Arabidopsis thaliana: one gene and its partners. The protein of the gene in region 1 interacts with the protein of each later gene in a pairwise test. Each region holds a gene or a part of one and is shown on either strand. Other genes may lie near its edges. The genes, in order: DWF1, AT4G30660, AT2G36330 and TET6.

What was found.
Region 2: the proteins of DWF1 (region 1) and AT4G30660 interact in a protein complementation assay, tested with the Arabidopsis thaliana proteins (one large-scale study listed by BioGRID).
Region 3: the proteins of DWF1 (region 1) and AT2G36330 interact in a protein complementation assay, tested with the Arabidopsis thaliana proteins (one large-scale study listed by BioGRID).
Region 4: the proteins of DWF1 (region 1) and TET6 interact in a protein complementation assay, tested with the Arabidopsis thaliana proteins (one large-scale study listed by BioGRID).

What each region holds. Positions count from the first base shown.
Region 1 is NC_003074.8:6,877,618-6,886,413, forward strand, and holds DWF1 (cell elongation protein / DWARF1 / DIMINUTO (DIM)), read right to left. Parts: upstream 4,699-8,796; 5' UTR 4,595-4,698; exon of another isoform or gene 4,012-4,594; 5' UTR 4,000-4,011; coding exon 2,758-3,999; intron 2,662-2,757; coding exon 2,218-2,661; 3' UTR 1,907-2,217; downstream 1-1,906. Other genes in the region: AT3G19810 (BTB/POZ domain protein, putative (DUF177)), read right to left, coding at 139-550, 642-1,195; NTMC2T5.2 (Calcium-dependent lipid-binding (CaLB domain) family protein), read right to left, coding at 8,721-8,796. UniProt on the Arabidopsis thaliana protein: Plays a critical role in the general process of plant cell elongation. Involved in the synthesis of campesterol, an early precursor of brassinolide.
Region 2 is NC_003075.7:14,952,371-14,958,965, forward strand, and holds AT4G30660 (Low temperature and salt responsive protein family), read left to right. Parts: upstream 1-3,008; 5' UTR 3,009-3,099; coding exon 3,100-3,189; exon of another isoform or gene 3,190-3,439; coding exon 3,440-3,574; 3' UTR 3,575-3,630; exon of another isoform or gene 3,631-3,790; 3' UTR 3,791-3,801; downstream 3,802-6,595. Other genes in the region: AT4G30640 (RNI-like superfamily protein), read left to right, coding at 300-664, 772-1,312; AT4G30650 (Low temperature and salt responsive protein family), read left to right, coding at 2,033-2,122, 2,197-2,328; AT4G30662 (uncharacterized protein), read right to left, coding at 3,813-4,160; AT4G30670 (Putative membrane lipoprotein), read right to left, coding at 5,227-5,535; AT4G30680 (Initiation factor eIF-4 gamma, MA3), read right to left, coding at 6,317-6,595.
Region 3 is NC_003071.7:15,230,402-15,238,153, forward strand, and holds AT2G36330 (Uncharacterized protein family (UPF0497)), read left to right. Parts: upstream 1-3,098; 5' UTR 3,099-3,218; coding exon 3,219-3,739; intron 3,740-4,135; coding exon 4,136-4,271; coding exon of another isoform or gene 4,272-4,283; exon of another isoform or gene 4,284-4,421; intron 4,422-4,702; coding exon 4,703-4,897; 3' UTR 4,898-5,127; downstream 5,128-7,752. Other genes in the region: AT2G36325 (GDSL-like Lipase/Acylhydrolase superfamily protein), read left to right, coding at 1,008-1,065, 1,203-1,430, 1,789-2,069, 2,194-2,494, 2,621-2,823; AT2G36340 (DNA-binding storekeeper protein-related transcriptional regulator), read left to right, coding at 5,457-5,675, 5,765-6,052, 6,140-6,277, 6,402-6,509, 6,597-7,088.
Region 4 is NC_003074.8:3,849,550-3,857,264, reverse strand, and holds TET6 (tetraspanin6), read left to right. Parts: upstream 1-3,398; 5' UTR 3,399-3,550; coding exon 3,551-4,042; intron 4,043-4,422; coding exon 4,423-4,739; intron 4,740-4,899; coding exon 4,900-4,939; 3' UTR 4,940-5,140; downstream 5,141-7,715. Other genes in the region: AT3G12100 (Cation efflux family protein), read left to right, coding at 1-409, 502-610, 748-787, 1,024-1,100, 1,232-1,320, 1,664-1,733, 1,864-1,902, 1,998-2,148 and 2 more; emb2738 (GTP-binding family protein), read right to left, coding at 5,285-5,349, 5,429-5,597, 5,701-5,851, 5,942-6,135, 6,393-6,554, 6,654-6,842, 7,230-7,317. UniProt on the Arabidopsis thaliana protein: May be involved in the regulation of cell differentiation.

The DNA of each region.
Region 1 (8,796 bases):
ATGAGATAATGAAAACGTTATAGCTACTTAAGATTCACATTTGAACATTATTGTACCTGATTTTGAGTTTTATGACAGTAACACCAACAAGATGAAGATGTAAAAAGGAAAATACATACAATTATCGTTGAGTTGAGTTTAGTTCCTTAGTCCCTCTTTTTGTTGCATTTGCTCTCTAAGATTTCCGAGAGGTCCATATCCTTTATCCTTCTCTTCTCTGCCACAATCACATTTCCTCTTATTCAGATTCGCACCACACTTCAAGCACATTCCTTTACATGCAGAATCGCATATCGCAGTGATGGTGATTTCTAAATGCACCAAGTCTCTTATATGCTTTGAGATATCTATTTCTTTCACCTCAGGTGGAAAATGAAGCTTATCCTCCCAATCTATCCATGAATCATCATTATCATCATCATCTTCGCCTTCTTCTTTGTCATTACCGAATGTGAATCCTAGATCAATGACATCGGGTTCTTCAACTGGCTCTTCGGTTAGTAATAGCGAGAAGTTGGAGAAGATGCTCTCACCTGTTGACTCACCACATCTTCAAACACATAAGAGAAAACCCGTTAAATAACAAAGTTGATGCAATCACAATAAAGTAAAAAAGCTTCGATGAGTTCATAAGAAAGCACCTGTTGCAGCCGAGTGTGATAACAGTCCTGACAATTCCATCAAGTCTCAGCTTCTTCTTCTTCCTTATGACATCAACCGAAACTTGAACTGGTGTGCCATCTGGATAATCCTTGACATCTTTTGTCACTCTAAGTCCCATTGCAGAAGCTCTCTTCTTCGAGACATCTGTTGACAACCTTCCCAACCCAAGCCTCTCTAAGGTAGTGCAATATTCAACATGTGTAACTGAAGCATTTCTCCTATACATAACCGAACCTTCCCAAGGTGACCCAGTATCCTCAATTTCCTCCTGATCTTCCCAATCCATATCTATTGTGCTGGTCTCTGTAAAAGACTCCTGACTAACTAATATCCGACTCTTTGCTAGCCTAGGAAGCTTGATCGGTTCAGTGAACAAGTAACTGATATGCTTCCTAATACCGGTGGTAAAATTAGGATAGCCAGCGGGAGAAGATAAACTTAAGGTACATGTTTCGAGTTTCAGAAAACTTGGACGCGACTGTTTAGTCTGTGGCAAGGGAGCTACACAAGATAAAGAGCAAACCAGAGACATTTTCGTAGCAAAGGTGACAACAAGAGGCAATTTATCAAGCGTTTATCAAACAATCATGCTAAAATATGGTATAAAATCCAGCCAAATCCCAATAGGATTGGGTTTATCCAGCTTGAAACAGAGCACCTGCAAGAAACATTTGCTGATATAGTGTCAACAATAGAGAAAAGACAGAAAATCTTGAGAAGGGAAATAATAATCTTCAATTGTTTTTGAAAAGAATGAATTGGGTATCGAGACTTCACAGTTACATTCCAGTCAGAGCTAATGTAACTAAAGGAATTTGAGCTAGGAATTTGGTCGAACACCTTCTATGCACCATTTTATGTAGATAAAGGACAGACCTTTCCACTTCCAATTAACAGAGCCGCAAACATCATGACGGAGACGAAATCGAAAAACAAGCAAGTAACTTCGAATACAAAAGATACAACAAGAATTAATAAATCGAAATTACTTACCACTAACAAGTGCTTCAACAACGCTTTAGACGATCGACTCTGTAAAACTTCTTTCAGAAACAGAGCTCTTCTTACTCGGAAATGGCTGCTTGGGTTTATCCTAAAAAGTCTCACCCGGTCAACTTCGGTTCAAATACCGGTATTTCCAGGTTTATATCAAACCTAACCGCACCCCAATAAAACTAACAAAGTCGGGTTTTAGTGTTTTAGATTCACGTCGTGAATGATCTAAAGCCTAGTTGGTGGTGGTATAAAGAGAGAAGTTGAAATGATCTCTCAAATTGGTAGATCAATTAATTCATTACAGCAACATGCTTACATTGTGACAGTCAAGCAACACGATAAAACCGGAAACCTTCAATTTCATAGGCAAATCCAAAAGTTTTAAACTCTAAAATCCACTCAAACCAGAATGAGTCAAACAACAACAAGAAGCAAACAACAACAACAAGAGTCTTCAAGACACTAAAACTGAAATTAGGAAACAACAACATAACAGACACTACTAGGAATAACAATAATCATCCCGAGCCATTACATCAAACCAAGGCTTATTATTACTTAATCTGCCTCGGCATAAGCAGTTTCGAGATGAGCTTGTTCGGCTTCTCTAACTTCTTTCTCAGTCTTCCTTCCTTTCTTGGACTTGTAGTAAACACTCATGAACGTTCCAATAGCTCTATACTTCTTGCGGCACTCCTCATACAATTCACCATTAAACATTCTCCAGAAGCTCTTCTCGTCGAGCTCAGACACCGCGTACTGAGGCTGGAATCCATGGTTCTCTATCAGCCATTTCTCCATCCTACGCACTGCTTCTGATCCATCAAACTCTTCACCTCTTAGGACACAGCCAGGTGCGTAGTAGACTCCAACATCAGTGTACATCTGTGCATCTTCTGTGTCTCCTTGTCTGTTTTCGTACTCGAAGCCTGGCTCTGGGTAGATTTGGCCTTTGATTGGCTGCTTGAAGAGTTTGTGTGGGCAAAGCCAAATTGGATACACCTGAAAGAGAACAAACAATTCATGATTTTGTTAATAACATCAAAAGAAACTTTAACTAGAAGATGATCAATCATGAAACCGAGCTTTTAGTTTTACCTCCATTTCGCGGTGGACCCATTCGAGTGCATCGCCAACCTTGTAAAGAGGAACAAGCATATCCTGAATAACATGCATATCATGGTAATAGTTCCTGATAGCTTCACCTTGAGTGGCCTTAAGAAGAGAGACCTTTGGAGGCATCAACCAACCTAAGAGGTACCTAAACCAGAACTGATCACCAAATGGAAGAATAAGCTTCCCTTCCCAGTACAAGCACCTTGTGTGCCTGTGGTAGTATTCACGAGTTGGGATGTACTCAACAAACTGTCCCTTTTTCAGGGCGGTCTGCGCGTGCTGGTAGAACCACGGCTTGAACCACCATCCCACATTGTTGATTTTGTTCCCTTTCTTCTTTGCCTCTTCTTTAGATGCATATGTTCCAACCATCATCACTCCTTCCGTTGGATTGTAAACCATGCCTTCGACGAAATCCGGGATTTTCGACTTGTCACCGTCTTTGGGAGCAAAAGAATCAATGTAACCTTGAGCTAAGGCTTGAAGATCACCCTTGACTGGTATGTAAGTGAGTCTCATGTACTCCTTGACTTTAATAAGCCTGATCTCAGCAGCTACAAGGAGTCCAAGAGTTCCTTGCGACCACGGGATTGCGTAGTAAAGATCAGAATACTCATTATCCCTTGTGGCGCGGACAAGCTCTCCACCCGCAAGAACAATCTCGTAAGCCTCAACGGTATCAGCAAACAAACCGTAGATGTGAGAGCTTCCTTCAATACCATATCCATTGATAAGTCCACCAACGGTAAGGTCATCAAGCTCAGCAACAACAGCGAGAGACAGGTTCATTGGGACGGTAGCACGGGAAATCTGTCCCATGTTAACAAGAGGCTCCACTCTAGCAGTCATCTTCTCCTTGTTGATCTCAAGGATGTTACGGAACTCCCCCAAGTCAACCTCGAAATGCCGGGCTCTCTTGTAGTCAACGTTCCTCATTCCAACAGCGATCCAGGGCTTACGAGCAGTGCAGACAAGCCCGTCCTTGGAAGCATCCCTACCCTTAAGCCTTTTGATGACTTTCTTGACATTCTCGTCGTGTTCCTTCTGACGTTTCTCAAAGGACTTGGACTCTGACCACATGTCCCCGAGGTAGATGAGGAAGTAGAATGTGGCTGAGAATGGAAGGACGATGAAGATGACAATGATCCATCTGAACTTGACAAAGTAATCAACCCAAGTCTTCTTCCTCTTGGGCCTCACAAGCGGTGTCTGAAGATCCGACATTTCCTCTCCTCACTGCATCAAACCAAAAAGAAAATCAAATCAACCAGAGTTTCAAAATCCATCACTGTAAAAGTCAACAAGGCCTAAGAAGTGAGCATAAATCTACCAGAATGTCAAAAATACTAAAGATTAGTTTCTTGAATCCAAAAAGAGTATAATAAGCACACATAAACACATACGTATACACACATGTGTATCAGTGTATGTGTATGAAATAAATCTGTAAGAAGAAGATAGTGTGGAGTCCATGGAAACAGAGAGCTAGTGAACAGAGAGACAAAAAGACATGAAGTTATGTTCTGAAAGAACAAGAACACAGAAAATGGTTATAATCTTTAGATCTACACATCTAGTATTCCTACAAAGCCATCAAAGTCTGTTTTCTACCACCAAAATAAATAAATAAAAGTTGGTGAGCAAAGTTTGAAACTTTGTTTGAAATTCTCCAAGACTGAGATGATTAAAATTAAAAAACCCACATAGTTCACTAGTGCGTGCTATGAAACAACTATGAACCAAGTACTGAGAGATCTAACGACAGGAAATGATAAGTCAGCGACTGAGACAGAGAGAGAAAGAGAGGTAGAGAGAGTACCTGAAGAATCCAAAGGAGAGAGAGAGTGAGAGGATGAGATGTGAAAGTGTCCCCAAGAGTGTGAGAGCATTTGTCTTTATAATAAAACGTGATTCAAGCCAGCCTGCTTCACTTGCATTTTTCGCTCAAAACAAGGTATTTTTTATTTCCCATTTTTTTATATAATTTTAAAATAAAAAAGGTAATAATAACGCAAAAATATAGAAATTAAGAAATATATAATGTATATTTTTCATGGGTTTGTATAAGTGGTTTTTCATATTTCTAAGTTTCTTTGTTGTTATCGCAATTAAAAATTCGATGTTAGTTGTAATGTTGATAAATCACATGTGTTATATTTATGAGCAATTTTTTAGTTTATAATTCTGATGTAAGAAAATAAAAATAAATTGTTTTTACTTATATCAGTATTTAATATATTTTTACCAACTCTTTTAACATTTAGAAATTATATGTAAATCGAACCTAGAGCTTAATTAGACATATCTTCCAAAATATAATTTCTTACTTAGCAGTTAGCATATAAAAGGAATATGAGGACAAATTCTTTGTAGGGATATTTTTTCTGAAAAGAGTTTACTGCTATAAATAGGTAAAAGCAAATAAATAAAAAAAGGCAACAAATCTTAGCAGTTTAAATTTCTTTTAAATAGAAAAATATATCTTTCTTTTGGTATGTAAATCACAATAAATTACAGGAAGACATGTGCCCAATGAAGGAAATGTAATTGTCCAATTCGTTTTTTTTTTAAATGCATTTTATGGGTTGATTGTATTGATTTTTGTTTTCTAAATGCTTTTAGCGAAACAGTCCTCCTACATGTTTGTTGATGTACCTAAAGCACATTCCATCCTCGTGAGGTTACTAAGCCGACGATCTTATATATTGTTTATTGGCAAAAAGTTCATTACAACTTTTCTTATCATAATAGTTATTACAACAATCTTTAACATTTAGTTTTGATATGTTATGATTGAAGCAAAAAAAGCACTGCCTAAAATATCTTGAAAACATTATACATTATGAATGCTAATGAGAGTTCCTTATATCTTTCTCTCAACTCTTAAGGGATCTTCAAATGAGTGTTTTTTTTAAGCCAAAACAATTGTGAATTAGTCATTCACTTTCATCTTATTCAGATTACAATGTAGTATTTTAGAAACTAATGTGTAGTAAAAAATTTTATATAAAATGCCTCTTATTTATATAAAAAAAAAAACTACGGCTGTGATGAGAAATGTTTTCCCAAATCCCAATAGCCATGCTTTTCATCAAAATTCATATATGAAATCATTTGTATCATTATCAGTGCCTACATAATACAGTAATAAACACACAAACTATCACGTTATTTGGTGAAAAAGGCTCTCAATATATAATTCTGTTACTGTAACCAATTATTTGATTTCCACCTAAGTATTTTAATAGTTGATTTAGAAAAGCAAATAAAATCATGATTTATTTAGAAAAATGGTTACACTTTAAAGTAATGAAGTGCTCAAAAAGTTTTTTTTGTCGCCAAAAAGTAATTATTTATTTATTTGACATAGAAAGAAAAAAAAAATTACAGGGATGATGGCCTGTCTGAGAAAATATCCAGCTCTTGCAAAATCTCTCATAAAATATATTTACTCTTTAAAATATGCCAACTAATTTCTTACTCACATTTACAGCTACAAATCATTTTTTTGTAGTATGGAAAAATAAATGTCTATTTGGCGAATCACACCTTTTGACATTGACAGTTTGACGTCAGTGAAAATTTGGTTGACGCTTGACAAAGTTTTAAACCGTTACAAGGTCGTGTAATCACACCAATGTTTACATTACAAGAAACACCAATTTGTTTATATATATATCCAAATACAAAGACATTACTCTTTGGTCCAACGCCAAATAAACCCATGCGTCATTTCTGCATCAACAAAAACCGTCTTTGTCCATTCCATTAGTACCTAAAAAAGTGTGAAGAAGCCAGAGACAACAACCCACATAAATTATGATTTGTTAAGATTGAAGCGTATTATGACTAAACACTTCTCTTGAAGTAAAAAAATTAAAAAAAAAAAAAAAGGTGAAAGAAAAAGACAAAAGAGAACGGAGAAACCGAAGAGAGGAGAGTTGAAGATAACAAATCTATAAACGAGGACTGTCCTACTCCCCACATGTGCCTGACGTGATCTCAACTCCTTCACGTGATTTCTCTTCCTCATTTTTTGTAATTTTATTACTAATTCTCCATTTTTTCTCACTTCTTATTAATCCCTTTTTATTATTCAAATTTTTGTTTTCTGCCACTTCCATTTTATTACTATTCTTGCTAAAAGAGAATGGAAAACAAAATCACTTTGTTTAATGCACCCACGATCCAGTTTTTATTTTAAATTGTTGTGCCTTCTGTTTGATTGCATGTACTTAACTTCTTATAATAAGTGTAGATCTACTCTTAACGTGCAATTAACTAATAGTCTAATACATCGGGGACACGTTCAATTGTTGGTAGCATTCTTGTTTAGCATTATATATAATCCATGATTTTAGCAATACCAATCAATCATTCCAAAGACAGATCGTTTCGTTTTCAGTGGCTTTTCATTAGACGATACATTGTTACCCTACTCAAAAACTTAACTCAAATGGGTTACTTCAACAATCAATATTGAAAAGAAATCACTTCTCAACAATAGATTAAGAAAACGACCAGAAAGGAGACTTTCTTGCGCCTTTGTCTTGGTTCCCTGAAATTAACCATAGTTCAGTCTTAGTAACATCGAACAAAATTGCTAAACTGATCCTAATGGGGAAAACGATGCATGCATACAAAACTGTTACACAATACTGTAAATTGCTAAACGCATACACCAAAAAAGAAGCAATCATAGCCTATAAACAGCGTTCTTTGCCTTCGTTACAGGTTGTGAAACACTATTTCTAACCAAATATTGCAATGAATTTTCAAGCAAAATATTGTGAGTTAGATAGGCGATGGGCTAATAAGTAGGAGTTGATTGGGAAGAAACGATATTAGATATTTGAGAGTTATGAAGAGTTTAACCTCTCCCTAACATGATCTAGCAAGACAAAGTTTAATAGCCAGGAAACCAGCAAAACATTGCAAAAAACAGAAAGAAGATGAATGTACCTTGTTTAGGCTCTGCGCATCGATATCTCCATGAACTTTTTGTTCCTCCTCCAGAAAGGCATATCCATGGCAGAATATTAAAGTTGTTGTAGCTAACAATATGGAAAAAACTAAAACCAAGGAATAAAAAAGGCCAAGTGAAAAACTCATTACTACTTCCACCTAGAATTCTTGGAGAACACTTTTCTCAATCCTAAAGTTAGTGACTGCTAATATCAGGTGTCTTCGTGCAATGTGTTATGGAATCCCTTCAGAAAAAGAAAAAAAATCTTTATTTGAATAAAATATTCGTGTACTATAACAAACCATTGGTATACACGTTGATCACAGTTGTAAGAGATTGGGTGAAATGGACCCTAAAACTTTCTGCCGCCAATAAGCGCCCCTCTTCTAAATGCATACAACAGCACTAGAATGTAAACACAAAACTGAGACCTCGTTATACGCCATCTCTGAGGCCGAGAAGAGAAAATTAACCAACCTGCCATTACATAAAAGGCTTTGGTCAGTCAATCAACAATGGGACACTAACAAATGCAAATAGCAGAACAGGACTATGCCACATTGTATAGAAGACTCACCTGACCATTGCCAAATCGCACAATCTTTCCAAAACAATACATTGGTTTTTAACTTTCTAGCGTAAATTGTATGCTAGGTACTCAGTATGTCTCAATTACAGAAAATTAGGTTCATCATTTTCAACTTACATAGTTTTATCTAAGTGACACCTATTTTCGAGTAACGGTATAAACATAATAAGCCAAAACAGAAACTACACCCAGCATAAATCCAGCGAAAAACAGTAAAGTGATTCCAAAAAGATTGCAAGGCCGATCCTCAACTATATGCAGAGATTCCATACATATATTCAAGTGAAGTCAACTGATATTGGCAACCATAGGCATAACTTACAAAGTTTTCATTTCGAGGTTCATACTTACTTTGGCAAAAGAAATCGTAATTATCCATACAACACCATGTCACGGGTTGAAGAAACTTGAGCCGCCCATGTTGATAGCAACGAGCACCAGTACAGAAGTGATTACACCGAACCAC
Region 2 (6,595 bases), on another chromosome or scaffold:
TTGTTGTTGGATGTTCTTACTCATTCTCTTAATCAAAGTCGAGGAGCAGAACCGTTTTGCTCCAACTTCAAACTGACAGAACATTAATATAAACTGGATATCAAAATTGGAAAGGTTACTAATGACCAATAAAAAAAAGCTCTGTTTTGTAATAGGTAAAGAGCATGCTTGATTATAGAAGCTGAAAAAGTCTCAGCATTTTTGTTTCCATTGACTACATTTATTCCATTGACGATAAAAAAAAGTCTCAACATTTCAAGTCTATTCGTACTCAAAACGACGAAGCGTTCTTCAATCCTATGGAAGTCAACGGCGGGGAAGGAAAGGTGGAGATGGGATCGGGACTCTACCCTGACTGGTCTGAGTTGACTCGAGAATGTCTTCTTGACATCTTCTCACGGCTAAGCCAGGAACAAAGATGGATTGGACCGATGCTGGTCAGCAAGAACTGGATGAACGCATGCTATGACCCGACACTAAACACCATCTTCGACCTCGAAACTCGGTTTCTGTCGTTCCCTGAGTCGATCAACTGGTGGACTCCCGAGTTTGAGGATAAAGTCGATTCATTTCTCCGATCTGTTGTTGATCGGAGTGAAGGAGGTCTCACAGAGATTCGGATCAGGCATTGTACAGAACGCTCTCTATCTTACGCCGCCGAGAGGTACGTATCACTTTTCGTGATAATTCTCAGTTTTAGCTTGAGTCCATAGAGGTTAATCGCAGAGTTTTGATAGAATGAATAAAATGTCATGTGGTTTCCATTTGCAGGTGCCCTAATCTAGAGGTACTTTGGATAAAGAACTGCCCAAATGTTACAGATGCGTCAATGGAGAAGATAGCTATGAACTGTCCAAATCTTAGAGAACTTGATATAAGCTACTCTTATGGCATAACTCACGAGTCTCTGATAACATTGGGGAGGAGTTGCCAAAATTTAAAGATTCTGAAACGGAATTTGTTGCCCCGGCTAGGTCCTAGCCTGCCAACAATCGTCGCGCCACTAGACTATCTGGCTACATTTCCTAGATATGGGAATATAGAGGCTAGAATAATTGGGAAATACATGACACAGCTCAAGCATTTGGAGATTCGATACTCCACATTGACTGCTAGAGGACTTGACTCGGTTTGTAAGGGATGTTCGAATCTAGAGTACATGGACTTACGCGGATGTATATCATTGACCAGAAGTGATATAAACACTAATACGTCGGGCTTGAAGAATTTGACGGAGATCATTAAGCCGGATTTCAATCCTCCGATTGCTGTTTTACGCGTTCCAAGACCTGGTAATCCAAGAGAGGAATGATGGTGTTTGGTTTTTGTTGGACGCACGTTTTGATCAACTTGTTGACCGGTTTTTATGCTCAGAGCTTCCTCTATGGCATTTTTTACTCTGTTCTTATCTATGTTTGAATTCCTAAAACAATGTGAAACCCTTTTTCTTTGTGAGTTTGTCTTGTCACTAAATTCCCAACTTTTGGTGTGTTCTATTAATATTCTTCATTGCTTTAGGTCTGAATCATAGTGTTAAGTGAAATAAACATTGAGGGAAATGGGTTAAGTAAATGTACTGAGATAGCTTGCCATCTAAGCAAGCAACAGAAAAATTGGGCTAATCAAAGTCCGGTCCCGGAAACAATAGAAGACAGGCCTTCTAGGCCAACTTAGTCACGTGATCCATTAACCGTACGATAAGGGGGCGAGTCAGAGTAATAATATCCCACAATGATCAGGTGTGTTGTGTTGCACCATACCTTGCGTGTTCTTGAGATGAAAATATCTAAAGAGTGGGGGCAAGGTAAGGTAATTTTACGAGATGTCGGCATGTAAGCTGAAGCCGTACGATTTATATACCAAACAAATAAACGGTGCAGATCTCGTAGTTGACTTGGTAGCGCCAAAAATAAAAAGCCGTGGATTGCTCTTTTAATTGGATCTCTGTGCTACCGACTACTTTCAGTGTTCTCTTCTTCTCCACTAATTCAGATCACATTCAAGAATCTTCTTCACTCACATCTCTGAAAAAATGGCGAGCAACATGGAAGTTTTCTGCGAGATCTTAATCGCGATCCTTCTTCCACCTCTTGGAGTTTGTCTCAAACGTGGCTGTTGCACTGTAAGTTATTGGAATTTTGGAATCATGAATCTTGAGATTTAGTTTAGAAAATCTGACTCTTAGTTTTTTTGCAGGTAGAGTTCTTGATTTGCTTGGTGCTGACAATCTTAGGATACATCCCAGGGATAATTTATGCACTATACGTGATCGTGTTTCAAAACCGTGAAGGCTCTACCGAACTTGGAGCTCCACTTAACTCAGCTTGATCTGTTTTGGTCCATTACACGGATCAATATGTTGTTGAAACTGTTTTACTTATCATGTACCAAATAATAAGTTGCTTTGCAATTTTTATGTATTGAAGATTTGAGAACATTGTCGCGTTATTGATACATTGCTTATCTTTTTGATGTATAACTTGTTGGCTTTTGCAAAGTCAGGCTACGGACCTTCCTAAGAGTTAATGTATCAAATTCTTTGCCAAGATTGTATTTACCGGAGTTTAAACTTCGCAAAATGCGGAAGCATTTTTGAGTTTGAAAGGATTTTGTATGATGCCAACATATATTATGGTATAGATTATGCTAAAAAAGATAGATTTCTGTTACTTTGGCAAATAATGACAATGATTGTGAGTTGAGGAATCAAAGTCTCAGTAATACGACACCGTTTGAGTCAAAACGTTTCTGTCCAATTCCAGTCTGGTCCCGGGATTAATAAAATAGACAGGCCTTCCCAGGCCCATTTAGTCACATGGATGAGTCAGAGACTAAAATATCTAAAAGTGATCTGATGTGATAAGGGTGCACCATATCGTTCGTTGTGATTCACGAGATGTAATCTAAAGCCGTACGATTTAAATATCAATAAATGAACGGTGCAGATCTCGCACATTGACTTTGTAGTGGAAACAAAATAAAACGTGGACTGATCTCTCTTCATTGGTACTCTCAACTCTGTGACAGCAAGTTTCAGTGTTTTGTCTTTTAAAAAAACTCTTAAAGCTTCTTCTTCTCTCATCTCATCTCTCTGAAAAAATGCCGAGCAACTGTGAGATTCTGTGCGAGATCATTATCGCGATCCTTCTTCCTCCTCTCGGAGTTTGCTTCAGGAAAGGATGCTGCACTGTAAGTTCTCTCTCTCTCTCTTTCGAATTCCTCAATTTTGAAGAATCCTGGAACTTCTTATAGAGACTGTAATTTTGGATTGATTATAATGTAATTTGGTATGAGTAATGAAGGGAGTGCTTAATCTATGATATGAATCGCAGAAATTCTCTGGATTGGATCAATTTATGTTTGATTCATTGATTCCTGAAAGCTTGGATAATCATTTGAAGAAAGTTGAATTTTTTTTATGTGTGGTTTGTTTTGGCAGGTGGAGTTTTTGATATGCCTGGTGTTGACGATCTTAGGCTATGTCCCGGGGATAATATATGCGATTTACGTGATTGTGTTTCAGCACCGTGAAGAGTACTTTGATGAATACAGACGCCCCATCTACTCTGCTTGATTTCTGTTTCTTTGGAACTGTGTTGCTTTGACTTGTACCAATAAAGTTGCTTTGCAGTTGTTTTCAGAGATTTGAAAACGTTTGTGTGTCATTTATATGCAATATTGAAAGTTTCTTCTGTTATCAGCTTATGAACCCTCCTGCTATGTGTGCTTATGCATCAGGTTGTTGACATAGTGTTTTCGCAAGGCACAAATTAAATTATTAAATTGAAAGGTTAAAAAAAAAAAGAGTTTAATTAGAAGGCGAAGAACATCAACAGAATTGAGCTCGCGACCGTGGAACCGTAGCGCAATGCCATCGAGAGACAAGGTCGACTAGTAGCGGATGATCCACCCGCACCATGACCACTACTGGGGACACGACGGTGGCTACGACCACCACCACGACTACCACCACCAACACCACCAAAACGAGCTTTCCTCATGAAAACTCGAAGAGAGTCATGATGATCCAACGGATTGGAGTCACCGTGTTGTGCAAGTCTTCGTTCACTCTCCTTATTTTCAGATGAAATTGGCAAAGGCTGAGAGAGTAACAATAGGAGTACAATCAATGAACAAGAAAATGCCAGTGAAGTCCTCATTTCTGTTTTATCAAATAATATGTGTGTATATACATGTATCTGATCGAAAAAAATCAGAAATATGTGTTAATTTTACAATGATGGGACGCATTATGTGTGCAAAAGAATTAGTATTTATAATATCGCTAGGCTTAGGTAACGAAACGACCATGGCTTAAACATGGGCTACTTCTTCTTTGAAATGATGTTTAATACTATTATTGTATTTAACTATTGGGATACTTATTACTTATTAGCAAAGAAACTTTCCTTTTGCCAGCAACAAAGAAAGTTTCCGAGAGGCAAAATCTAATTACGTAAGGGAGGATCATGATTAATTAAGCCTAATGGGTAACAGACCCAAATGTTATTATTTATCGTTTTCTTATGTGAAATGGAATTTAGTGAATTTCCAACGTAAGGCAAATAGTGGTCGAAGGGAAATGGTGCCTAGTAGTTAGTTCTAATTGTAACTGAATTTGATTGAATTCATGTAGTAGATGTTTTAAAGAGGTTGTTGTTAATGGTAAGAATAAACAAAGGAACAATGTTCACTATACCTGCATTCTCTCTCCACTCAGTCTTCAAAATAATTGATCGTGAGATTAAGAACACTATCACCGCCAAAAAAATCAAAGGGGTCACTTCTGAAATCTTATGGCTGCGATAAACTGGCCCGAGATTTTCCCACATAAGTTTGTTTTCTTGTTTTTTACTCTTTTTTTTTTTTGGCCAAGTACACAATTGTATAGGTTTAACCAAAGTGTAAGTTCTGATTATTCATATTAATGATATTTACAATTTAGCAAACAAACAAAAAAATTCCAAAAATAGTCGCATGTAGTTGTGTGTCAATGATAAATTGTCTTAGACAATCAGTTATTATTCATTAAACAAAACAACTGGAACCACAATATTAGACAAACCAGATCAGACAACTTTTCAAACATTGAAGACTTACAAACTCAATCTTTGCCGGAAAAGAAAACAAATCGTTAAACTCGATCGGAAATACAAACTCAAACAAACACGCAAATTCAAGCCATTTGACAAATAAAATAAAAAAGTCGCAACCTGTTATCTTGGATTAAAATGCGGCGAGCAATAAAACAAAGGAACTCACAACAGTAGATACATAGGTAAATGGGTTAGAGAGAAGGGTTCGAGTGGCTGCTGATTTGTCCTTCTTCTTCTTGCTCTTGCTTTTGCTTTTCCTCACGAAGACTCGAAGATGGTCGTGGTGATGACCGGATGACCCTTCCTTGTTCTCTTCATGTTCAACTAGTTCCCGACCCAAAGGAGTGATCGTATGGCGTCCGCATGAAATTATGAGGGATTGAGAAAGTAACAAGAGGGAGATGATCAAAAACCAACCAAGAAGAGAAGAAGTTCTCATCTTTTTCTTATTCTTTAAACAAAATTGAATAGAAAATATATTTATCTTGTGTTTTTTGAACTTATGAGTGTGTCTGTGTATTTATAGATTTGTGTGAAAGTAGTTGTACCATACTCTCTTCTTCGTGCACGCAACCAAACAGATGAGCTCTTCCTTAATTAACAACTAGGCAGTGATATAATCATCAAGACAGCTCATAACTGTTTTTTCTTTTGGAAAACTTCTTACTTACACAAGAGACATTTTGACACGATCCAGGATCATATGACTCTGTCAACGTATTAAAATCTCAAATTTTATATGATTGACTACGTATGAAAAATGGGAAATATCCTTAAATGTCATTTTTCAATGTATAAATTAGTGTGATATTTTTTAAATATCTATTTTGAAATGCTCATCTGTTCCCATTAAAGTAAACCACCAACATGATAAAATACAATAATAATAATAATGATTATTTGACAACTACTTGATTATTTAAATTAAACTTTTCATTCCAAGACTATCTATAAAGAGTACAATTCAACATATTCTTTTCTTTTTCCTCATCTTGAACTCTTCCAAATGAATAATGAACTAAGGCACCAAAAGAAAAAGCACAAACCAAGAAAAAGAAAACAGAGTAATAAAACTGAATCTAATTTCGATTACAAGTATGATATTAACTCTTAACATTTTTCAATAAATGATTACAAGAAAGATCTCACCTGTTTTTTCCGGCGAGCGTGGGGTCTTAAACTGATCAAAACATGTATTGAGAAGAAAGAAACCACACAAACTACACCAAACCACGGCAAGCCTCAACCTCTACTGCTTCCGTAGTGAGTAGAGACTCACTAACACTCCTCATCACAGCTTCCAAGACTGCTTTCTTGAACCATTCGTCTCCCATTTTCATTAGAATCTCTTTCACCAACTCAGAATCCGATGCTTTGGCCATAACCAAACTCCCAAGGATCTCCCCAAAGTTGTTTGGCGCTTTTGGCAGATCGATCCCAATGTCATCGAGCATAGACCCATAGAGCAGACAACCATTCCTTAAGTCTTTAGGAGTTAG
Region 3 (7,752 bases), on another chromosome or scaffold:
TTAGGCATAATATAAGGCCGGATTCATTTTGGTAAAGACGAGGATACAATAGCTTCGAATGTGTGGCCATGTTTCGCTAAGCGATCATCAACTTGATTTGTCTTTTGGTATGTGAAAGAAAAGGAGGTTCCATCAAACATCTTTCAGCTCACTTGAAAATTATTTGAAATGTCTTTCATACATTTATGATCTATCAATGAATACAAATGAACTACTATTTTTCTCTTCAAATAATTATTCTCTTTCTGTTGACATTATGAAATTTAGAAGTTTTCACAATAATCAAAAGTAATATAAAACGTCGAAAATATATTTATCTTTATATGACCACTTGATGATGAAGACTCAAACCAACAAAAAACTAGTGTTTGTTTTATTTCCGTGGTCAAATGTAATAATATATTTCTGTGTGTATTAGGTGATATTTAGAATTTTTGTATAATTTCCAAAACAAGAAAATACTTCAAATAAATTTCATATTAATCTTATCAAAACATATCTTTCATATTTTATATGACCATTATTGGATGAAGAAGAGTCAAACCAAATATGAACTAGAGTAGTAGAGTTCAATTTTTTTTTTTGACAACAATGTTTTCTTTTTCTGGTCAAATAAATAAACCTTTTTTGTTCATATTAAGGTGAAAGAAAATTAGAAATTATGAACAAATGTTTTAAAAATAATATAAATATCTAGATCATATTGCATATATTTCATTTACCAATGTTAAAGATTTGTGTATATATAGAAAAGAAATCTTCAACAAAATTAAACTGCTAAGAAATTATTAAAAAAATGTAAAAGAAGGAAAAATATCTAAAACATGAAGCCAGAGAAACGAAATAGGAGTATTAATTAATTAAAGAAACAAACTCAATTAATTAATTCAATGGAAACCGCTAAATTATTAACCGTTCGCCATAATTAAAATTTAAGAGACACACACCTTAAACCTCACCTATATATTTTCCATGCAAAAAAAAAAAAGACAACAATTTCAACCATCATGAACATTACTAAACTCACTCCTTGGTTTCTTTTCTCGTGTCTGATTCTTCTATCAGGTATTATTAGTCTATAACTTTCATTTTCTTCTTCTTGATCTGTTTAATGTATGTATCGTATATCAAATTACAGCAATTAATTTGTATTAAATCAGTTTCATCGATTAATTTCTTTTTCCTTTTGATATACGTGCTAGACTACATAAAGGTAAACAGCTCAATTTCTCCATCTAGCGAGCAAACACAAGAAGATGGCTTTTTTGGTTTCAAACCTACAAAGTTGTTTGTGTTCGGAGACTCGTATGCAGACACTGGAAACACACCTTTCCTGATCGTTCCCTCGTGGAGGTTTCCCAATGGAATCACTTTCCCGGGAATACCTACCGGGCGGTTTAGTGATGGTCGTGTTTCCACTGATTATCTCGGTACGTTTGAACTATAATGTTTTGTTTGGTAATCTGTCACAATATCTGAGTCTGTAAGATTTATAATATTGTAAACAGATTGCAAAGCTCAGTGAAAAACTCTTAGATTAGATATGTCTTAGCTGTACATTTGCATTGCATCTCTTATATAATGAAACGCAAGTCAATAAATTTTGTTCATTATAATTTGTTTTAAATGTTGACCATATAAGTATTTAGTTTAACGTTTTCACTCTCTCAAAATGCAAGATATCTCTAGTTTAACGTAAATCGGTTGCCAACAGTAATTATACCCTATATATAGAAAACATATATTATGCAATAAATCTTATAGTTTGACTTATATTGTAACATGTAGCGAAGTATATTGGAGTTAGAACGCCGATCACATACAAATGGGGGAAATACGGACGACCGAGACTAGCTGTGAAAAGAGGAATGAATTTCGCATATGGTGGAGCCGGCGCGTTTGAGACAATGTTCAAATTAGTTCCTACCGCTAGTGTGCAGATTGATTCCTTTGAACAACTCCTCATGAGAAACGTTTATTCACCGGCCGATCTCAACTCTTCCGTCGCTTTCTTTAGCATCATCGGCAATGACTACCTTACTTACGACAGACGTAATGGTTCTGAAGAGGTACAATATACCTTTTCTTTTCCCACTAGGGTTGATCAAAATTGATTACTGGTTGACCATTTTTGATCCATATATTATATAAGTTAACATTTTCGATTTCTTTTGAAAATATAAAATCTGGCAGGGTCGTTCAGCACTCACAAGGAAAGTAGTGAAACAGATTTTGTTGGATGTGAAGCGAATTAAGGATTTAGGAGTAAGAAAGGTGTTAGTGGCTTTATCACCACCGCAGAAATGTTTGCCGAAGCTTGTCACTCCTAAAGGCTGCGACACCAACGACACCTCGACGTACCTCCACAACAGTCTTCTCCGCAAAGGACTGATAAAACTAAACGATAAGGAGATTAACAATAATGATAAAAGTTTCATGACGTTAGATCTCTACAATGCCTTTGTGACCATATTCAAGAACAAAGGAGTTTCAGGTACGTAAGATATATACCAACACTGTATATGACCAAACATAACCGATCACGTCTTTGATAGATTAAACAGAAATACATATACCTAAATAGATGGGATATATAATATAAATGTTTAAATTTGGGCAGGAGTTTCGACATTTCCGGATCCGTTTAAGGCATGTTGTGCAACAAAACGAGGTACCTTTTGTGGAGATAGAAGCTTGAGTGGTAAAAAGTTGTACACTCTTTGCGATGATCCAAAATCATTCTTCTTTTGGGACAATGTTCATATCAGTGATCAAGGATGGCGTTCTGTTTTTTCTCTTCTTCTTCCTGATTCACAGTTTTAAATCAACTAGATCAATATGCAATAATTCTCCATTCTAATGATATATGATGATTATCAATTGTCTTCATAACAATGCATACAAAGATTATTTCAATACCCACTTAAATAATAATTATTAGCTAGAGACTCTAGTCTAGAGTCAAAACCAAGGGCCACAAAGAACAAATCAAAGTTTTAGGTGCGAATTGTCAAAACTAAAATAGTGGGGCATTATACGAAAGAACCAAGAATACAGGGAGAAGTAGACAAAGAATCTTGCAAAGTCTTCTTTCTGTGTTTGATTCTCATCAAAGACTTCACTTTTGTTCTTTGTCGCTTCAATTCAACGCTTATTCCTAAATTCGATTTTGCGTTGTCAAATTCCTTAAATTTCGTTACAAAGGTTTGATATTTCCGATGAGATCTCCAGCAAAGACGATGCCGTCGATGTCACCTTCTTCAGTTTCCACGGAGAAATCTCCACCTCCGTCAGATACTTCAATGGCTATAGTAGCTTTCGATAACTCCACTACTCACTTCTCTTCTTCTCCATCGCCGCCACATTCTCTTGATCATTCCAGTGAATCGGAGAAGGAAGATGCGAAAAGTAAACCCGAGAGTAGAAGAAACAAGAATCCTGGAAAGGTTGAGGAAACTCCATCTCCGATTGTGGTGGTTCATAATCACAATCGCTCTGTGAAAGAAGTGGTTCCGACGAGAAAGAGTGCGAGAGTTGGTTCTGGGAGAAGTAGTGGCCAACGATCTGGAGCTGTTTCGGCTATTTTGAGAAGGTCTAGGAGAGAAGAGGTGGTAAAGTTTTCAGCTTTAGGGTTTCGGTTGAGTGAGGTTGTGTTGGCTTTGATATCTTTCTCAATTATGGCTGCTGATAAAACTAAAGGTTGGAGTGGTGATTCTTTCGATCGTTACAAGGAGTACAGGTAATTATTTGTTGTGTTTGTGCTTATTTCTTCGCAGATAGTGATGTTTCTTGAATTTAGGTTCAGGGTTTATTTTAGGGTTTAGGGTTTTATCAGTATCACTAGTGTTGGTTTTTTGATAAGAAATTTGGATTACTTTAGTTTTAGTACATGTGAATTGTCTTTAACACTTGCGTGGTCCAAGTCTATGTTTTGGTTGAACTTGGTGAAGTCCTTAAAAGAAGTAAAGTTTGTTCCTTTTGACATTGATTTTGATTTGTTGGATCGTAAGAATTCATTTGCAGTTTCCATTTTGTTGTTTTGGTCAAACATTTGAAGTCAGTTTAGTATGATTTGATTTTTGATTTTGAGACTAAACTGATTTATCTATGTGTCATCTTCTGATATCTGTGACAGGTTTTGCCTGTCTGTGAACGTGGTTGCTTTTGTATATTCTAGTTTTCAAGCATGTGACTTAGCGTACCATCTTGTCAAAGAGAAGCATTTGATCAGCCACCACCTTCGACCTCTGTTTGAGTTCATTATAGATCAGGCAAGTCATTAACACTTATGCTGTACTCTCGATGGTATTCCTTTGTTACTTTCGTTCTTGTATGAAGTATGATCTACGTGGTTGCATCTAGGTGATGAGAAAAACTTGGCTATAGATAATTCCTGATACTTTGACTTGCACCATCTGCTGGTATTTACCCTGTCTCCTGTGAATCAAAGAACAACACTTTGTGGTTAAAGTCCAATATTGTTACTCTTTTTCTTTATGCTTTAGCTTATAGCATATGTGGAAAGGGATTTATCTTATAGGTCGGAAAACATGGTGAAAGTGACTGTTATACTTGTTTGACCAAACTACTCCCTTCATTACATAATTGAAATCTCTTTCGTCCCCTGCAAAACATTTCAAAAGCATGTGTAAAAACAGATGGAATTATGAATAAGAAAGGTTTGTTTTGTTTGTGCAATCAGGTACTTGCATATCTGCTTATGTCTGCCTCAACAGCAGCAGTCACTCGCGTTGATGATTGGGTTTCAAACTGGGGAAAAGACGAGTTCACAGAGATGGCAAGTGCCTCGATTGCTATGTCCTTCCTGGCCTTCCTTGCCTTTGCTTTCAGTTCCCTCATTTCAGGCTATAACCTATTTAACCAAGGCTCTCTCTGATCCTCCCACCTTTTTGTATAGGTCCACACTCCTTGTGTGATGTATAATAAAAATGATCAATATATCTTAGCATTGTAATTATTATACTATTTTTGTAGCCTATATAAAGGTTTCCAAAAACTATGAGGTTAATAAGAGAGGCATATCCTGTTGTCAAAAGGGTCTTTATAGCCAACTAAATAAAGACTCTGACAGAGCAAAAGGCAACAACTTTTCAGCTCTTGAGCCATATGAGTGTCCTCGATTGTAAATGAGACCTCAGACTTATCCATTGTGCATCTTGAACCCTGAAGAAGGAAGAAGAAACCATCTTGCACAAGCCCAATGTTTAAAAATGGAAAAGGGTATTTTAGTCATTTACGTTTTCGACACTCGGACTTCCTAGTTCCTACGCCTGGAGAATATCAATAGCCGCCAAAGGATTGATCGTGCTTTTGCTTCGTATCGTCTCTGGGTTTTTAAATAGAGAGACTCGAGAGACTCTGTTTGACAATAGGGTTTTGAGCTTTCTGAGAGTTTTATATAACTTGACAAAGTTTTGATCTTTCATCACCGATCAATGGTTGGTACGAAGAGAGTTGCTGATTCCATCGACACCAACTCGGATGACACACTCACGAGGAACCGTGAGGTTGAAGTTGAGGCGATGCTCAGTAGGAGAAAGCAACTAAGGACAACAACGACGAGGACAACAACGACGAGGACAACACCATTGAGCTTGTCTTCCTCTGCTTCAAAGATGAACTGGTCTAAAAACGATGAGCTTGTCATTCTCGGGGTTAGTTAGTAAATTCTTTGCAGCTTCTCTATATTCTTCTTTATCCTCTTCTAACTTTTTTTACTCTATTTTGTGTGTGTGTGTAAAAGGGTATTGTGGACTATGAGAATGAAACGAAATTGAGCTATAGATCTGACTGGGATGCCTTGTACCGTTATATCAAAGATTGTGTAGAAGCAAAGTTTTCGAAGATTCAGCTCATCAATAAGGTCAAGAACATGAAGAGAAAGTTTACATACAATCAGGGGAGATCTAACCATGGGGAACAACTTTCTTTTACTAATACTGATGATGATGAAATCTTCAAATTGTCATTGATCATATGGGACAAGAATGAATCAGAGTATGTTTCTAATGAGAATATAGACCAAGCTAAGGTGAGTGTCTTTGTTCTGTTTTTCAACAATCTCTTAGACTACTAATGTGCAATGAATTAATGATCTTGTTTTCTTGATTTGCATAAGGATGTTCCTTCTGGTGAGCCAGAGACTAATGATGTGCCTTGTGAGGAGCAAGACGATAGGGATGTGCCTTGTGAGGAGCAAGAGCGAGCGAATATCGAGATTGATAATGGTGTGAGAGAGAAATTGGACCAAGCCAAGGTGAGTGTGTTAGTTCTGTTTTTTCTACCAATCTCCTTGTTACCATCTTAAAACATGATGTAAAAAATTGTGTTACTAATGATGTGCAATGAATTAATGATCTTGTTTTCTTGTTTTGAATAAGGATGTTCCTTGTGTGGAGCAAGAGAGTGAGGATGTGCCTTGTGTGGAGCAAGAGCGGGTGAGTATAGAGATTGATAATGGTGAGAAAGAGAAATTGGACCAAACCATGGTGAGTGTGTTTGTTCTGTTTCTACCGATCTTCTTATTACCACCTCAAAACATGATTTATTGATCTTGGTTTCTTGTTTTGAGTAAGGATTGTGAGGAGCAAGAGAATACGGATGTGCTTTGTGAGGAGAAAGGCGATAAGGATGTACCTTGTGAGGAGCAAGAGAATAAGGATGTGCCTTGTGAGGAGCAAGAGCGGGTGAGTATCGAGATTGATAATGGTGAGGAAGAGATGAGTAGCGAAGAAGATGGTGTGGATGAGGTAGGTGTTATGGAGGACACACTTGATTCTGGGATATCGTTTCAAGGTTTAGGTAAAAATGGTGTGAAAGACAAGAGTGAAGAAGATGATGTGGTTGAGTTGGGTGTTCTCCAGGAGATATTTAAGGAGGATACATTTTTTCAAAGTTTAGGTAGATATCAACAAAAATTGCTGCTTCAGAATTTGGAAAACGTTGGAGTTGAAAGAAGAAAAGAGCTCATCAACGAATGGAAGGCATTGTTTGTTGATGAGCAGCGATTGTGTGTCAAGAAACTAACTTTCGCCGCAAAGCTTGCAAACTTAGGAGTTTCTCCTTGATTCAATGAAGAAAAATCTCTGCTTTTGGAATGATCTCATTTTTTTTTGGTTGTGTCATATTGATAAGAAAAAACATGATGTATCCACGATCCGTTCTTGTTCTAGAGCCAGGTAACTGAGGTAAGTAACAGTTAGAGCTAACCATAGCAGATTCTCCTTTTTTTAGTGTTGTGTTTGTTTCGACTCTTCCTTTTGGGTTGGGCTTCGATAACGATTGTTCAGGCCCACTAACATTCTTTTCTTATTGTGCGTCTGTCTCTTTCGAGAAAAAGACACAAGCACTTAAAGCCAAGATTCGCATTTTGCCACATGCCACTAATTTCACCTTGTGTTAGATATTATTTTTGTACTACACACTCAACGAAGACCATAGATCAACTCAAAATATTTATTACACAACAATTATCGGAGAAGAGATTGATGTGAAATGTAATGAAGACGAAAAGAAAATAAAAAAAGAAACGACGAATTTGGACGTAATTTTCAGCCAAAACATATGCTTTGGGTCCCACACTTTCACATTTCAACTTTATCATCACACCGAAACACTAAACACCAAAATCCCCGACAAATTTAAAGAAAATTTTTCCATTTTTTTTTTTTACTCTATCTCTGTGAGAGATTCTCTTCAAGCTCAGGCCTTTAGGCTTTAGGTTTCTTTTGG
Region 4 (7,715 bases), 3.0 Mb from region 1:
AGATCCATTTCCTTTAATCCTCGAGGCGATAACGAGCTCCCTGATGATCGGAGCAGCGATGTCGGATATGCTGCTAATGATCGGAGGCTTGCTTATTCTCGCTCGTTTCAGCAATCTCACGGTCCACGAACGCCGGCGGTCACGGAAGCGGCTAAGCCTTTTCTCGATAGGACGGTCTCGAGCATCGATATGCCGCCGGATATTTACTCCGTTGATGGAAGTGATGTGTTTTTCGGGGAAGGGAAAGATGTAGACATGGCAAAAGTGTCTGTTTTGGAAATGGTTTGGGAGGTTTTTGGAGTAGTGACAAGTGGAAATCGGCAGATGAAGAGACTGTTTCTGCTAATTGCGCTTAATGTGTTGTATTCTACAACAGAGCTCTCTATTGGTATCTTCACTGGTCGTGTAGGTACGATTTGGTTTCAGTTCTCTTTTTGTTTTAGGATTGAATCTCTGAATTGTTGATATTCTTTCTTTGAATTGTTTTGTGGACTCTTACAGGTTTGGTCTCTGATGCATTCCATTTGACATTTGGTTGTGGTCTCTTGACATTTTCTTTATTTGCAATGGCAACTTCAAGGAAGAAGCCTGATCATGCTTACTCATACGGGTGAGTTACAAGTAATTTGATTGGCTCAGTTGGTTAATCCATTTTATGATCTATTTTTCTCCCGAGACTGTAATGTGATTATGCTCAAGTGGTTGTAATTTAGGCATCCTTGTCTTCTCTTTTTTTTGGGTTCCCAGGTACAAAAGACTTGAAGTTTTATCTGCTTTCACTAATGCTGTAAGTATGTTCTTAACGTGTTTTGGATGTCATTTCCAGCTTTAGTGTAGATGGCTTGACTCAGTGTTAAAACTCTTTCCTTTACTGTTGCTGATAGAATAGAGTATTTTACAGCTCGTTAAAAAGATTTGGACTTCCATACAATCTATCTTTTCGTTTTGCCTTTCATTGTCTCTGTAGTTTATCTTTTTGGTTAATACTTTGATTTGTTTAATATTTGACATATGTGTAGACAGCTGTTCCTTATGTTCATGTCATTCTCCTTAGCTGTGGAAGCTCTTCATGCATTTATACAAGATGAATCAGAGCATAAGTAAGTTGATATTTTCACAAATGACATGCCTAGGAGTTTCTATATATATCTCTAGCACTTACTAAGTTTACAGTACTTGTTCCCTCTTGTTCCTTTCAGTAGTGTGATTTACTGAGATTTCCTTTATGTAGGCATTATTTGATTGTATCAGCGGTAACAAATCTGCTGGTGAACCTACTAGGTGTTTGGTTTTTCCGGAATTATGCTCGTGTCAATATTGGTATGTTTTTCTCTGCATTTTAAGTTCTGTTTAGACTTGTATGAATTGATGCTCATACGCTGCTTTATATTTTGATATAGCCTTTGTTGGTGGCTTTGGTATTCATTTGTAGAAATTGGCCACCCTTGTCAGTTTTCGCTTTAAAGCCAAAGAAGTAAGGGTGTTTGGTTAAGATAGAATCAGTACGAAGATTAGTTGAAAGAGAGAGTCAGCATAATTGTAACTGATCTGTCAAACGACTATTCGTTGCTTCTTGAAATTATCTGTCCCTTCTTTACATATCTAAAAACCACATGTTATCTTGAATTTTTTTCTTATATTCATAATATGCAATATGCTGCAGCCTACAGAAAAGCAGAAGATATGAATTATCACTCCGTTTGCTTGCACGTCATATCAGATTCCATCCGCAGGTGTTAATCCTCTCTGCCTTTATAAATTTCAAGCAGAATCGGAGAAAGCTATATAGAAAAGAAAATGCTTCCTTTTGCATCAAACTTATATACAGTCAACATGAAGTTTTCTTTGCTGCTGTCTTTTCAGTGCAGGTTTGATACTGGCATCTTGGCTCCTCTCGCTCGGGTAATACTCGCTTTCTTTGAAGGAGCTAAATGAATAAAAGTGTCTTCTTGCTTGACTACATTTTCCTTTTGCTCCTTATGCCTTGGCTTTTTCAGGGTTGAAAATGCAGAGGTCCTATGTTTAGGATTGGTATCGGTCACAGTGTTTATGCTTGTTATGCCACTCTTCAAAGCCACTGGTGGTGTCTTGCTTCAGATGGCACCCCCAAACATTCCTTCTTCTGCTTTAAGCAAATGCTTGCGACAGGTTCGCTCATAAATCGTTCCTCGAATGTGTACATATTTCCCATTGTTGATCAAACCAGGCTTCTCTTCAGCTCTCTCTCTCTGTACAGATTACTTCTCGAGAAGATGTAACGGAGGTTTTACAGGCACGTTTCTGGGAGGTTGTGCCTGGTCACACTGTTGGCTCACTCAGACTCCAGGTACTCACTTTTCTCCTTTTTTTTATATCGGTTAAAACATGAGCTCACACTAGAAATGGAAATGACTGGGTTTGTTATTTTGTTTATCGGCGTTAGGTGAAGAGCGGAATAGATGAAAGACCATTACTGCAATATGTATATGATGTATACCATGATTTGGGTGTACAAGACTTGACCCTGCAAACTGATTACACCTAAGCTGCATCTGCCTCTTCTTTGTTTTTAAATGCTGATTTGAAGATTTTTGGATGTATACTAGAGATCATGGTTCTTTAGGAATATAAATATTGTGAATTTTCAAGTTGTGACTTTGTGATATTGTTTTGTTTGTTTTTCATTTATGTGAATTTTCAACCACACAAAGACCACAAACCTTTGTATCTTCAAGCTTGTGGATATTTTGGCTCATAATGATTGGCGAATTAAAACATATATCATTTGCTAAATGTGAAAGTAAACACACAAAAATTCAATATGAGCTGAGACAAGATTTTAGCATTCCTTCTCGTTTATTTATACGATAAAAAAGGAAGTGGGGGAATCGGAGATCACATCAAGCTATATCTTAAAAACCTAATATTCCGAGGAATGGGCCACTAAAAGCATCTTAGAAAGAAAATTCATCGATTACGAAATCATCTCCCGTCCATGTCTATATATTATTCTTTGCTTACTCCTATGCTTCATTGAACATAGCACATTTATTTTATTCCACTTGTGATCATCCATTATATAAACCATGATTGCAGTTTTTGGACTAAAAGCTAGAAAAAGTTGTATTCTTTATGGTGTAATGTCTTAAGAACATATTTTAATGAAGGCACTACTTGATTTCTCTTGGTTGTGGTCTGCTCTGTACCAACTCCAACGACAAAAACGTATAATATAGAATAATAAACAAGAAACAATTGTTCAAAAAGACACTTTTATTTGAAAATTATACGGTTTTAATGTTATTGTTTAATTGATTCAACTCAAGAGAGAGAGGACCAAAAGAATATGATCATGAATCATCAAACCATTAACTCTTAACCTTTCCCCTTAAAAAATTCCCAATTGATAAGAGAGAATCAAAAGCCAAAAGTAGAGTTAACCAATATTATATCTAGAAAAAGAAGATTGTAAGATAAAGCTGATGAAATTCACATTGCAAGAAGAGAATCTGCTTACAAAAGAAAGAAGGCAGTGTTAAGTCTCTGATTTCTTCTTGATAACATTACTACTATGTACAGATTCAGCAACACAGTTATTGGGGTCTTAAACCTTCTCACCTTACTAGCCTCGATTCCAATCATCGGAACCGCTTTATACAAGGCAAGAAGCAGCACGACATGTGAAAACTTCCTCCAGACGCCGCTACTTGTTATAGGATTCATCATACTCATAGTTTCCCTTGCGGGATTCATAGGAGCCTGCTTCAACGTGGCATGGGCTCTTTGGGTGTACTTAGTGGTCATGATCTTCCTCATCGCTACCCTAATGGGTCTAACGCTATTTGGTCTGGTGGTGACGAGCCAAGGAGGTGGAGTGGAAGTGCCAGGGAGGATTTATAAAGAGTATAGGCTTGGAGACTATCATCCATGGTTGAGAGAGAGAGTTAGGGATCCTGAGTATTGGAACTCCATTAGAAGCTGTATCTTGAGTTCCAAGACTTGTACTAAGATTGAGTCTTGGACTACACTTGATTATTTCCAAAGAGACATGACTTCTGTTCAGGTACAATCTACTTTATGACATGATTCATGCTTGCTTAACAAATTGCTATAGTAATCTAATATATATCTTATCATATGATAATTTAAGCCTTTGATTTTATTTGTTTCTTCGTTTCTAATCGCGTGTAAAGCAAGCATGTGACTAGAAATGAAAAAGGCAAACGAATTTTTTCTTTCCGTGTGTGTTTTGTTGAATCGTATTTGTATTCTTACTTGCAAACAAAATGATAGTGTGACCTTACCAGTTTTTTGCTGTAAACATATAGTTTTCTCTTTTTACTTAGTTTGTGTTTGGCGTTTGCATTTAGACAAAAATATAGTATTATTGGGGAAGAAAAGGCTTGTTAAGAGTTAAGACGTGACTAATAAAAGACAATGCAGTCGGGATGTTGTAAGCCACCGACGGCGTGTACGTACGAAGCTGGAGTAGTGGACGGAGGAGGAGATTGCTTCAGATGGAACAATGGAGTGGAGATGTTATGCTACGAGTGCGATGCTTGCAAGGCTGGTGTTCTCGAAGAGATCCGTCTCGACTGGAGAAAGTTATCGGTTGTCAACATTCTCGTCCTCGTCCTCCTCATCGCGGTCTACGCCGCTGGTTGCTGCGCCTTCCACAACACTCGCCACGCAGCTCATCCTTACCATCCATCTGATGATAACCGCATGACCAGAGTCCGTCCTCGTTGGGACTATTACTGGTAACCTTATCTCTCTCTCTCTCTCTCTCTATATATATATATATATATCACTTACCAAATGCATGATCGTAAAATGAAAGTTTTGTTTCAAAATTATACTTGATCCGAATTGAGATCTTGGATTTTTTTATTTTTTGACAAAAGCATGTTCTTATTACAGGTGGAGATGGTGGCACGAAAAGAAAGAGCAGCTTTACTAAAAGCCGCATCGTTTTTTTGTTCTTAATCATTTTCTTTTTAGCAAACTTAGATTAAGAAAACACAAAGATAGTTTAAAAATGTTGATGTAGTCCTGTTCCTATAAATCATCAAGAGATTAGTAAGATTTGCTACGAGTGCATGAGTATATGCATATATTTTTCGTCTCACTTGTGAAATATACTCTATGGAAGACTTATTAGAGTTTACTATTCCTGCAATTTCACTTCAAAGCTCAAAACGAAAAACAAACAGAGTAGGTTGCAATGGAGACTAGCTAGGATTGAATTGTATATATATATTGATAGTAATTATTTTTCAATACAACAAAATTACATCGTCGGTTATTATGTTCTTTTGGTTGCAAGATTTCTCTGACGTGTAAGGCCTGCCATTCTCATTGTTCCTCCACCTGCAGAATTTTCCAAAAGTTATACAGATACTGTCACTATTTTCAAAAAGAATTACAACTTCATGCAAAAAACTCGTACCTCCTCCATTTTTGTCAGATCTTTTACGGCTACGCCAAAGAAGCCGAATTGGAGTCCCAGCAAAGCCTGCATCAGTGCGTAGCTGTTTCTCCATATACCTTCTGTACGTATCCGAAAACAGCTTTGCGTCGTTTACAAAGAAAACAAACGTCGGTGGCCTTATTGCTGCCTGCATTATACAACCATTTTATATACAGACAAACAAACCCGAAAAGCCTCTAATGCATTTTCCTTTACTGCTACTAGAAAACATTGGGAGATGTTTTTATTACCTGGGTGCAATAGTAAACGCGACCTCGCTTGCCTCCACGGGTCCTTGGAGGGGATTTAAATGCAACTGCTTCTCTTATCACTTGGTTCAATATAGCCGTACTAAGTCTTCTTGATCTCTCCTTTTGAACCGTAGCAGCAGCAACCACAATACTACATTTGAATTATATATTATCAAACAGACTAAGTAAAACCGGACTGTAAGGTTGAAAATAGTTTTTGAATCATTTGAAGGAGACTCACTTGTCAACGCTATGGCCAGTTATTGCGGTTGAATAAACAATAGGTGCCCATTTGAGGGAACGGAGCTTCTCCCGAACATCGTCCTCGTAATGTGCTGCAGTCTCTTGGTTTTTGTTCGGTATTGTATCCCATTTGTTTACAACAACCAGACATCCTTTCCCTTCTCTTTCTATTCTTTCTGCAATCTTCAGATCCTGTGTTTCCAATACATACCATTAGAAAAATTTCACATGATAAGAAAGTTCATCATTTTTCCTTTGTTACAATAGCAAGGTACTTTTGTGTTATCAAATCCTTTGTGACATTCTAAAACTATGTCAGTAAAATTGTTTGTTGTTGGACAGGGAAATAATTATACTGTATGGTTCAACTCTGTCTATACCAAAACAGTCTGCATGCTCTACAATTGCTAATGAGAAACAGTCATCAGTGTCAGTTACTAGTGAGATACCTGCTCTGTTATGCATGCCATAGCTTCAATGACAAGGGCAACAACATCAGAACGACGAATTGCTCGAAATGCACGATTCACTGACATGGCCTCTGTAGTGCTGCCTGATGAAGCCACAGATGACTTTTTCCTGATCCCAGCTGTATCTATAAGCCGAAACTTCTGCAACACAGTTCATGATCATATTCAGGGTTAAATGAACAGGTATTCACCGAAAGAAAACTAGGCCACAAAAAACACAACAGACAAAACTGAACGAACCTCCCCATCTGGTCCGGTAAATTCTGCATCTATAGCATCACGGGTAGTGCCACTAACAGGGCTAACAATTGTTCTATCCTCTCGGACAAGTGCATTTAAAATGCTACTTTTGCCAACATTTGGCCGACCAATAATTGCAATGGCAGGAATGTAGTTTTCTTCTTCCTCCTCTTCAATGTTCTCCATGATCTAGAAAAGTCATTGAATCGTATGGGTGCAACAGATGTAAGAAAATGTTTTAATATTTGGTTTGTAAAGTGATGCCTATTGAACATAGTTGTCAATGCTACTCATCAACAATAATTATTTGAAGGAGACGTACATGTCAAGGCTATGGCCAGTTATTGCAGCTGAATAAACAATGGGTGCCAATTGAACATATTCAAAAATGCCTTAAGGTATTTGATAATTAAGAGATGAAATTTTGAGGGTGTATATAATGTAGATTCAGACCTTGAATTTTTTTTCCAGAAACACTATACTTCGATACAGAACTCTCTTCATAAAGGACTATTTGCCAATATCTCATATTCCTGCACAAATTTGTTTCTGAAAGAAAGAAAGGCCATTACAAACCTCGAGTTTAATTAGGCCAGAACAAACAAGATCAAGCAGCTCTCCTGTTCCAGTTCCCGACAATGCAGAGATAGGGATAGGTGTGAACCTGGAAATTCCACCATGAAATCAATGAAAACACAAAACAAATGCACAGAAGCAAAGTAACTAAAATGTTTAGCATTGCATGTAAATCATTTTCTCTCCGGCTAAACCACAGCTACCAACCTCCAGCAAAATCTCATAAATTTGTTGGATAAACTACTCACTCGCATTCAAAAAGAAAGGTGAACATCAAAATAGACACTATAATGGGAAAAAGTCATTCTGATGCTTACAAATTTCGCCAGGTCCATAAACTCATCAAAATAACAGAACTAGATTCATAAATTAGGACAAGACTGTGTTGAATAAGAGAGTAACAAATATTCAAATCATATAAAAGTACCAAATGACGTTTGTCCATGAATTCTATATTTGTAGAAAGTTAAAACACTAAATGAAAAG